Linked DNA regions of Tribolium castaneum. The protein of the gene in region 1 purifies or fractionates together with the protein of each later gene. This does not show direct contact. Links are inferred from orthologs where the notes say so. Each region holds a gene or a part of one and is shown in the gene's direction. Other genes may lie near its edges. The genes, in order: DNA (cytosine-5)-methyltransferase PliMCI and Sirt1.

Region 1 (4,423 bases):
CCGATTCGATGGGAACGAGTCTGGATATGTTGAGGAGAGCGGCGGCGACGTTAGTGTTTCTGGCGCGGCATCCGGATAACAAACCGTTGTTGGTCCAACAAGAATCGAGGCTGTTGGCGCTTGTTATGAGTCAAATTTTAGATCAGCAGGTGGCACTCCTGCTTTCCAAAGTACTATTTCAAATATCTCGCAGCTAATCCCTCTGTAGATACTCTTGCGGCCTTGGACTGGTGTACAGACCTCTATGTATAGCGTGAATAGTTAAACTTTACCAATGAACAGTGTGTATGTGTGAGTGTAATGGGACAAATGGCGAGAGTCGCCGTGAGATCCGGATCTCCGATAGCTAATGAATTCACCTAGTGTAACCAACCCATAATTGTACCATTTTGTAAATTAAGCAAACATACGTCTTTCTGGAAATGTCAAACATCCATGTTACTTATGTATTTATTAATTTGAATAACAGAGTATGGTAGTGCTGTAGCTCTCGAGTTGCTGCCTGGTATGATGATGATAATGATAATAACGAAACGGTGATGATGATGGTGGTCATCCCTTTTATTTTTCCTGCGCACTCAGTTCTCTTATTTCATGTTTGGTATTACTGTGCGAATGCTTTATACATGTCTGATAATGAAATAAATAAATGTACAAAGGAAGTACCGAAAATGGTGTTTTTATACAAGTTTTAATTTTCTATGTATATTTAGAAAATGTTTTATACATCCCATTTTAGATGTTACATTGAACTCTGTTAATGAACAAGTATGGACTGTAAAACAATGCAACTTGCGTTATTAGAAAAAGCAGTCTTGCTATAGAACTCAAATGTAGTTTAAAATATGTGGTGATATTTTTCTGGCTGTAGGTATATTTCATCTTATGTATGATTGCATATTGTAAAAATTAAGTAAATGCTAAATACATTAAATTCTTTTTAATTCCGGCAAACCCTTCAAGTTTTTTTCAAAACAATATTCTGCAACATTTATTATTCAACCACTACACCACACAGGTAAGTAAATTACTACCTACAATAATTTTTACCAATTTACACGTGAAGGGTATGGTAAAAATAAATTCCATTTGTATATTAATATTTTTTTTGTTCTGCCCAGCAGTCCAATTATTAACACTGTTAAGCCAGATTTTGTCAAAACAAGCTTCGTGACGTGAATTTTTAATTTCGAATTCCGAAATACATTTCACAATGAAAAGTCAACAAGATAAAGGTTTGAAAAAAAAATTGCCACGTTTCCCACTCACTGTTATACAAGGTGAGCTCAAGTAACGCATAAAAAATTCATACATGTTGATTTTATTTTTAAAAATACTACGTTTGTGACGTCATTGGTTTTTGATGAGTTATTGCGATTGTTTTTTTGCTTAATTAAGTAGGAATTTTATGGGTTTTTTAACTCGCTGTGTATATTTTTTGTCCACAAACATGCAACCAGTAAAACATTTGCTCCCCGCCGAAAATTAAATTTTCTAACACCGCGTTTGCGCATTTTATAACTATTTGGCGCGAGTTACCCTTCCACTTCAGTAACTCGAGAAGTTTTGTTTTGTCTAGTCTAGTCTCTAGTTATTCGCTAAATTCTTCAATAATGTCCTTAAGAAAAAGGTAATTTGTTCTTTCGTAGTAGACAAGTAGTAGTAGAGTCGTACCTTACAGGTTTAGAGAGTCTCCCGCACAGGAAACGGGGGACAACACGAAAAAACACAAACGAACCTCTACTCATTCAGACAAGTGCAAATTTTGCGCACAAACTCTTAATCAGGCAGTAGTTTACACAAATTTCCCCGATGACTATGCCGAGGAGTCTGTTGCTTTAACATCCGAAAGACTGAATGTGTACAACGGTACCGAAAACATCAGTTTTGAGGAGGGCGACTTGCCCAGTCACAAAGTAAAGTTCCATATGATCTTCCAGGAACATGCCATTGCCTCTTAGATAACTTGTTTCAGTATTTACGACTTGAATGACCACTTGTGCCCCCTTGACACCGGGTTGTTGCAAAAAGAGGTCTATTTGCATATCGGGGGTTACATTAAACCAATTTTCGACGACGACCCGAGCCCCGAAAATGGCATTGCAACGCTTGACATGGGGCCCATTCACGAGTGGTTCATTGCCGGTTTTGACGGGGGCGAGAAAGTCTTACTGGGGATTATCACTAACTACGCCCAGTACGTTTTAATGGAGCCCTCGCTGGAATACGCCCCCATTTTCAAAAGCCTCCAAGAGAAAACCGTTTTGTTTAAATTCGTTATTGAGTTCCTACTAAGCAATTTCAGCCGCGCTCCTTCCTACGAGGAGCTACTGGCCGCAGTGGAAAACAGCGATAACCCACTGTTGACCGAGGAATTTCTCCTGCAAAACGCCCAGTTTGTGTGCGATCAGATCCACAGCTTCGACTTGGACGCTGGGGACAACAACGACATGCCGTTACTCACAATGCCATGCGTTCGAACTTTGGCGAGTTTGGCTGGTGTTAGCTTCCGGAAGCGCCAACTCATGCGGAATCTTTTAGGGAACCAAAGGGTAGCTGCTTAATTGTATTTCACTCGATTGCAACTTTACTCATTGTAGAGAACTAAGCTCCAGTTGAGCAAAGCCACAGCCACGCCGCTAGTCCGCCAATTGTTCGAACAGTTGTTCCCGAATCAAATCCAGACTGAAAATTGCCAGTCGCCCAAAAAGACACGGTGTGGCATTTGCGACACGTGTCGGTCGCCCGACTGCGGCCAGTGCGTTTACTGCAAAGACATGGTCAAGTTCGGCGGTGATGGCAACATGAAACAGCCCTGCAAGCTGAGACGTTGCCCCAACTTGGTCGTGCAAGAGTTGGACGAGAGTGACGACGAAACTGTCGTGACACCAGCCAGGGGGCGGGAGGACGGCCGCAGACCTGGCGTGAGCCGGGTCCTGAGCGACGGCCCCCTTCAGAATTTCCGCGAATCGATTGATATAGTTCTTGGTAAAATCACATTCTTCTGAATTAACTTGGGCTCATATCATCAATCGTTAGGTGGGGTTAATGATGACGACACGGGCATTTTACTCAACATCAAGACCGGCGATTTTGTCCAGTTATCGCCCAAAAGTGCAACCAAACCGAACACAATCGCCCGAGTTGTTAACATATACACGGCTACGGAACCAATGGTCCATGTGTATTTGTTCTACCGCGGCAATGAAACGATTTTAGGGGAAGTAGCCAATCCGCAAGAACTTTTCGCTTCAAATGAATGTGAGGATTGCCCGGTTGCCGCCATAGTAGGACAGGCCAAGGTAATGCAATTATAAGATCGAATTTTTTCCAATTTTTCCGGTAGGTTGTTTACAAAGCAACGCCCGACAATTGGGCCGATTTGGGCGGGATTGAGTGTTTGCCATCTGGCGATGATAGGTTTTTTTACGCAAAACAGTACGACAGTGAGACTGCCACGTTCACGGACTATGTTAAAGTCAGGAATGAGTTGGATTCGTGCGGACATTGCAGGTAATTTTTCACTTTTTGCCCACCGTTGGTACGTTTTGAAATTCAGGTTGAACGAGGAACGAAAGAAGATTGAAACTCCCACTTTCAAAGATAACAAAGTCCAATGGCGCAACGAGTTTTACGAAGCAGGGAACTCGGTTTTTTTGGATCCTTCGGTTTATCAATTCCCGATTCCCGTTGAGTGCACTTTCGATGATGTAATTATAAGACTTGCATTTTCCCGTGTTTACGATAATTTTCAGGCGAAAGAGATGAATGAGAGCAAATACCCGGAGTACTACCGAAAACGCGAAGCTAACGCTTCTTGCAAAAAAATGCCCCAACCGTTCTGCATTGGATTAATCGAGACCCTATGCGATGGACCCGCCGGGGTATTGATGGCGATTCGGGTGTTTTTTCGGCCTGAAAACACAAAGGGTGGCAGCATGTTATCGTATCAGTCTGACATCAATCTGCTGTTTTGGTCCACTAAATGTAAATACTACACTAACGCTATATTCTTCTTAATTATTTCCGAGTCGTACAAAACTATCGTTTCCATAGATCTCTTTCAGACAGTTCCTATAAACTGCCCAAATACCAGTAGTGTGATAAATTGCCAATTGATATTTCAGTTATAACAGTTCCGTTTCGTAAAGTGATGGGGAAGTGCTATGTTGTTTACTGTTCTGACGAACAGAAGGCGCGGGAATGGTCCGAGGGGGGCCCTTATCGCTACTATTTCAGACAGCAATACGATCCAGACTGTGGTGAATTAGTTCCACCCACGTATAGCTGCACAAGACTGGCTTTGAGAGAGGGAGGTAAGTTTACATTTTATTTTTTACTGTTCTGTTACGGTGCTACAATTTGACCGAGATTTTGCTTTTTAAATCATTTTTATAACGCGACAAAAATTCTTGGCCTTTTT
Region 2 (4,311 bases), on another chromosome or scaffold:
AGAAGAGATGGTCAAATTGTTTCTTTTTCATTTCGAAGGAACGTTAGAAAAATTACCCGCAATATAATTGCCCAATTTAAATTTATCCTCCGATACAAATTTTTTGTTTCCCAGCTGGCTAGGTTTGTCCTAATATGAGCATTTTTATTGATTATTATGAAACTTTGATTAACATATTATTATTTTCAACAAGTTAATTATACAGACATTCGAAAAAAATTCAAAATAAAATAACAAAATTCTTTACATTTAAATTCACATGTCAACTGAGAAAAAAGCCGCTCTTCTAGAATGTCAAATTATACCTCCCATATTAAAATAATGATAATAAATCTAATTCCAAAAAACAATATGCAATAACCATTTTTTTCAAAAGGTTTTTAGGTAGAACACTTTGCAAAAGTTCAAAATTATGTTTTGCAGCTAAATTCTTCCGGCAATTGGTACAGATGTGATTTTGTTTTTTGACCAAATTTCGCAATAAATCATAACATTTCGGATACAGAAGATACACAAACCAAATTAAGGTTTCATGTGTAGATAACGTTAAAAAGAAATGGAATTTGGTGGGTTTTCTTGTCGCTGGGACTCAGTTTAACACAGATATCTTTCCTTATGCAGACTCTCAATTTGAACTTTATTTTACTCCAAAAAGCTCAAATGAGCTGTCCCTCACAGAACGCTTCATACTAAAAATTTGGCCAATTTAATTTTTTTATTGTAACAAGACCCTAAGCGCAAATTCAGTATAACTTACGTCGATTACCATAAAAAATACAGAATAATGGCAAAAACATCAGACTTTAGCTCTTGCAAATTACCTTCTTCCTAAGCTTGCCTCGTATGTGACATAACCTCTTAACGCCATCAAAGCACATTGCTTCCAGCCGTCCATTCCCCAACATTTTTGTGACTTGTGCATACTCCTGTCCATCTTCCTTGAAGACCAGCTCACGTTTTTCCGTTTCATTTTCGTTCTTACCCCTTCTACGGTTCTTACCTCCCTTTCCTGGAATGACATATTAAAACAAAACGTCACTATGTGAACTTGACATTAGCCACAAGGGGACACAATTTGCACATTTTGCCCACTTGTAGTCCACAACTTTTGGCAATTTTCGGGCCGTTTATTGCAAAATGTGCCCCAATAATTGTCAAAACGGAACGTGTGGTCGCGAGGTGTCGATATGTCGCAAATTGGCAACATACGCAGTTAGGGGCGCGGAGCAGTCTCACCTTTATTCTTCGGCATTGTGTGGGCGACTACACGGCGGTGTGGAAAAGGGCCGAAAAGTTTGCAAAAACGCCGAAATAATTTGTAATATTTCACAAGAAATTTGCTGTCTGTTATCTGGCGGTGCACAGACGACGCAAGGGATTGTGGGTAGGCGCTGGATGCGCGCGCAGGAATTCCTCCGGCACTGGCGACTCGATGCTCGAAAAGATTTTTATTCGTGTCAAAGATGGATACCTATCCTGACGTTGCTGAACACGAATCCAGTGCGAAACGAATTAAACTCGACCTAAGAGAGTCGAATATAGGTGAATTGTGCAATGGGGGCGATTTTTCTAGTTATTCCACATCAGCTGGCGGCCCGATTGACATCCCCGAAGGTAAAATTTCTAAAATATGTTTGCTTGTTTAGGGAAAATTTCTCATCCAATATGGCGACGAGAACAAAGGCGATTTAGCAGACATTTTGTAGGCGTGGTGCTAGGATCGAAATGACTGATGAACTTGTAAAATTTGCGGTTGATTCATTTTTGACTCAGAACGGGTGCTTGTCGTTCGTTTCGCTTCACATAGTCGTTTTTCTTTGTTAAGTTATATTTGAAAATATTAGAAATAAAATTTTAATGATTTTTTTAAATTTAGTGGTTTTATTTACCTTGTTTCAGTTGAGTTCTGTCAGGGTTATGTTTGGTGTATTTTTGGTGGTATTGTGCATAAAGCTTGTGGAAAATATTCCATTTCGGACAAAAACTATAAAAATAGTCGGAAAAAAAAGGTGGAATACTACTGACAGTTTACGACTGACTTGTTTGCAAAAGAGGTTAAGTTTATGTTTTTATGTCAAAACCGCGTGTTGCATGGAACATTTTCAAATCTGTTGATTAAATTATGGTGATAAATGGAAAATCTAAGGTAGCATCAATTCATCACGTGGGGGAATTCTTAAAGAACTTGTTTTTTTTTAGTGAGCATTTTTTTATATAAATTCACTCATGTTTTTTGTCTTAATTTTATATTCTTTGAATTTGAGAACTTGCCTTGAATGTAATAAAAATCAAATACGTTTTAGTTTTATCTTGATGTTTATAAAATTTCTGAATTTGACTGCTTCAGATCTGCTATTTTTTCTTAATTTTTAATGTATAGTCTAAGCTAAGAGGAGGGATGTTAATTAAAAAAAATGGTTTTAGGAAAAAAATAATTTTTATATCTAGTTTTTTTCCGAAATTTAGATTTAGGTAAGCTCTTCATAGTCTCATGAAATATTTTGTTTTACATTTGTTTTTTTGTACAATTTATTTATTGGTATTTTTATAAATTCAGGATTAGTCAGTGTTTAGGAATTTTTTTTCAGGTTTTTTTAAAAATAAACGTTTTTATTAAACAAGTTATTTGTGGTAATAAGTATAAAATCACATTTTAAAATATTTTAATTCGATTTTTCTAAAAAAAAAACAGATGAATGACATCAAGTGAAATAATTTTTTTTAATTCAGGATTTTTTTTATTTCTGTTAAAGTTAGAGCTCTAGTTTTTTTGTAATTTTTTAATTAGAATATAATAAAAATCAAATAGTTTTTTAGTTTCATCTTAATGTTTATAAAATTTCTGAATTTGATCTTCTATTTTTTCTTAATTTTTATTTTAAAATACTTCTTGCACTTGCACTCGAAGCTAAATTTCATTAGTGGTCAAATGTGAAGAGAAGAGATGTCAATTTGAAAAAAGGTGGTTTTTAGTGAAAAAATGAATTTTTGACTGATAGTTTTTTTCCCAAATTTAAATAGGAAAGCTCTTTGTAGTCTTATCAAACACCTTTGTTTTACATTTTTTTTTTTGAATAATTTATTGTGGCAAAATTATTCACCGTCTAATAAGTAAGAAATCACATTTTAAAATAATTTGACTCGATTTTTCTAAAAAAAGCAGTTTTTGACATTTTGCTTTAAGATCAGTTCACATCTTAAGGTCTGTGCAGTGTACACACTATCATATTATTATGCAATTTAATGCAAACAAAAAGGATGCAGTGTGAATTCTTCAAGAAAGTTTATCTTTTTTGAACGAAAGATGAGTGGAAAAGTGATTTGTATTAATTTTTTCTTCTCAAATATTTGAAATTTTTGGAGACAAATATAATAAAATTTATGATCTGGAAGTATTAATACGTAGTATCGCATGTATTGAAAAAAAAATCTACAGACTACAAATCGATTCAAATATTACAAATGATGTAATATATGCTAAAAGATTAAGTTAGGTATTGTTGGTAAAAATTTATGCTGGAAGGATGTAAAATTCTTTTAGAGAAAAACAAATAAAGCAATAATTTGTATTTCTAATTTATTGTTGTAATTCAGGGAATTTCTTCAGTTTAATTAGTTATTTTTAGACGTAAGTCGATGTGGGCAGAACCTTATTGAACATTTTTTCTTGGAAACTGCGAAATCGTGCAAAGGTAACACACCTATAATATCACCCCAAAAGAGACAGATTTATGGATTTATTGAAATTACAAAAAAAAAATCAATTTCAAAAAGCGTATTTCAAAATTCTCAAGACGCAGACTAAGTTAAAACTCTTGTAACATGAGATACTATGATAAACATTCGATAAGTAAAGTGTTGATACGATGGATCACCTGTGGGAGAGGAACTTCAACTTTAAAGTAGTGAAAAATCTACAAATATTGTGTCTGACCTGATCTTAGTGAATTAGAATTTATTTTTTTTTCCTAGAAAAATTACACGTTACCTATGTTTGTAATTTTCTTCATTTGGGATTTTTATGGACCTTATATAATTTTCTTAAATTTAATTTAAATTTACTCCAAGAAAAAAGACTACTACAGTGAAATGACAAGTGTAAATTATGCAGTTACATAAACACTACAATGTTAACTTAATATTTACACAAATAACTCAGACGACACTAGGGTTGGTAAGATTGGCCTTATAACCATTAAAATCACTAATTTCTTACTTTAAAATTCAAAAAAATAGGAAATATAGATTTTAAACATACAGGGTGAATTTGACACTATTTATGGGACTATTTATATAAATTTATGGGACACC

The links.
Region 2: the proteins of DNA (cytosine-5)-methyltransferase PliMCI (region 1) and Sirt1 purify together in Homo sapiens (affinity purification with western blotting; 3 studies listed by BioGRID and IntAct, with this or other methods). This does not show direct contact. The link is inferred for Tribolium castaneum from reciprocal best matches to the Homo sapiens genes DNMT1 and SIRT1.

The regions. Positions count from the first base shown.
Region 1 is NC_087403.1:4,025,670-4,030,092, reverse strand, and holds the start of DNA (cytosine-5)-methyltransferase PliMCI, read left to right. Parts: upstream 1-1,499; 5' UTR 1,500-1,613; coding exon 1,614-1,630; intron 1,631-1,681; coding exon 1,682-1,916; intron 1,917-1,961; coding exon 1,962-2,552; intron 2,553-2,600; coding exon 2,601-2,988; intron 2,989-3,039; coding exon 3,040-3,302; intron 3,303-3,346; coding exon 3,347-3,513; intron 3,514-3,559; coding exon 3,560-3,710; intron 3,711-3,755; coding exon 3,756-3,987; intron 3,988-4,127; coding exon 4,128-4,316; intron 4,317-4,423. Other genes in the region: trithorax group protein osa, read left to right, coding at 1-197. UniProt on the Homo sapiens protein: Methylates CpG residues. Preferentially methylates hemimethylated DNA. Associates with DNA replication sites in S phase maintaining the methylation pattern in the newly synthesized strand, that is essential for epigenetic inheritance.
Region 2 is NC_087394.1:11,915,536-11,919,846, forward strand, and holds the start of Sirt1 (NAD-dependent protein deacetylase sirtuin-1), read left to right. Parts: upstream 1-1,463; coding exon 1,464-1,614; intron 1,615-4,311. Other genes in the region: eIF1A (eukaryotic translation initiation factor 1A, X-chromosomal), read right to left, coding at 822-1,009, 1,237-1,252. UniProt on the Homo sapiens protein: NAD-dependent protein deacetylase that links transcriptional regulation directly to intracellular energetics and participates in the coordination of several separated cellular functions such as cell cycle, response to DNA damage, metabolism, apoptosis and autophagy.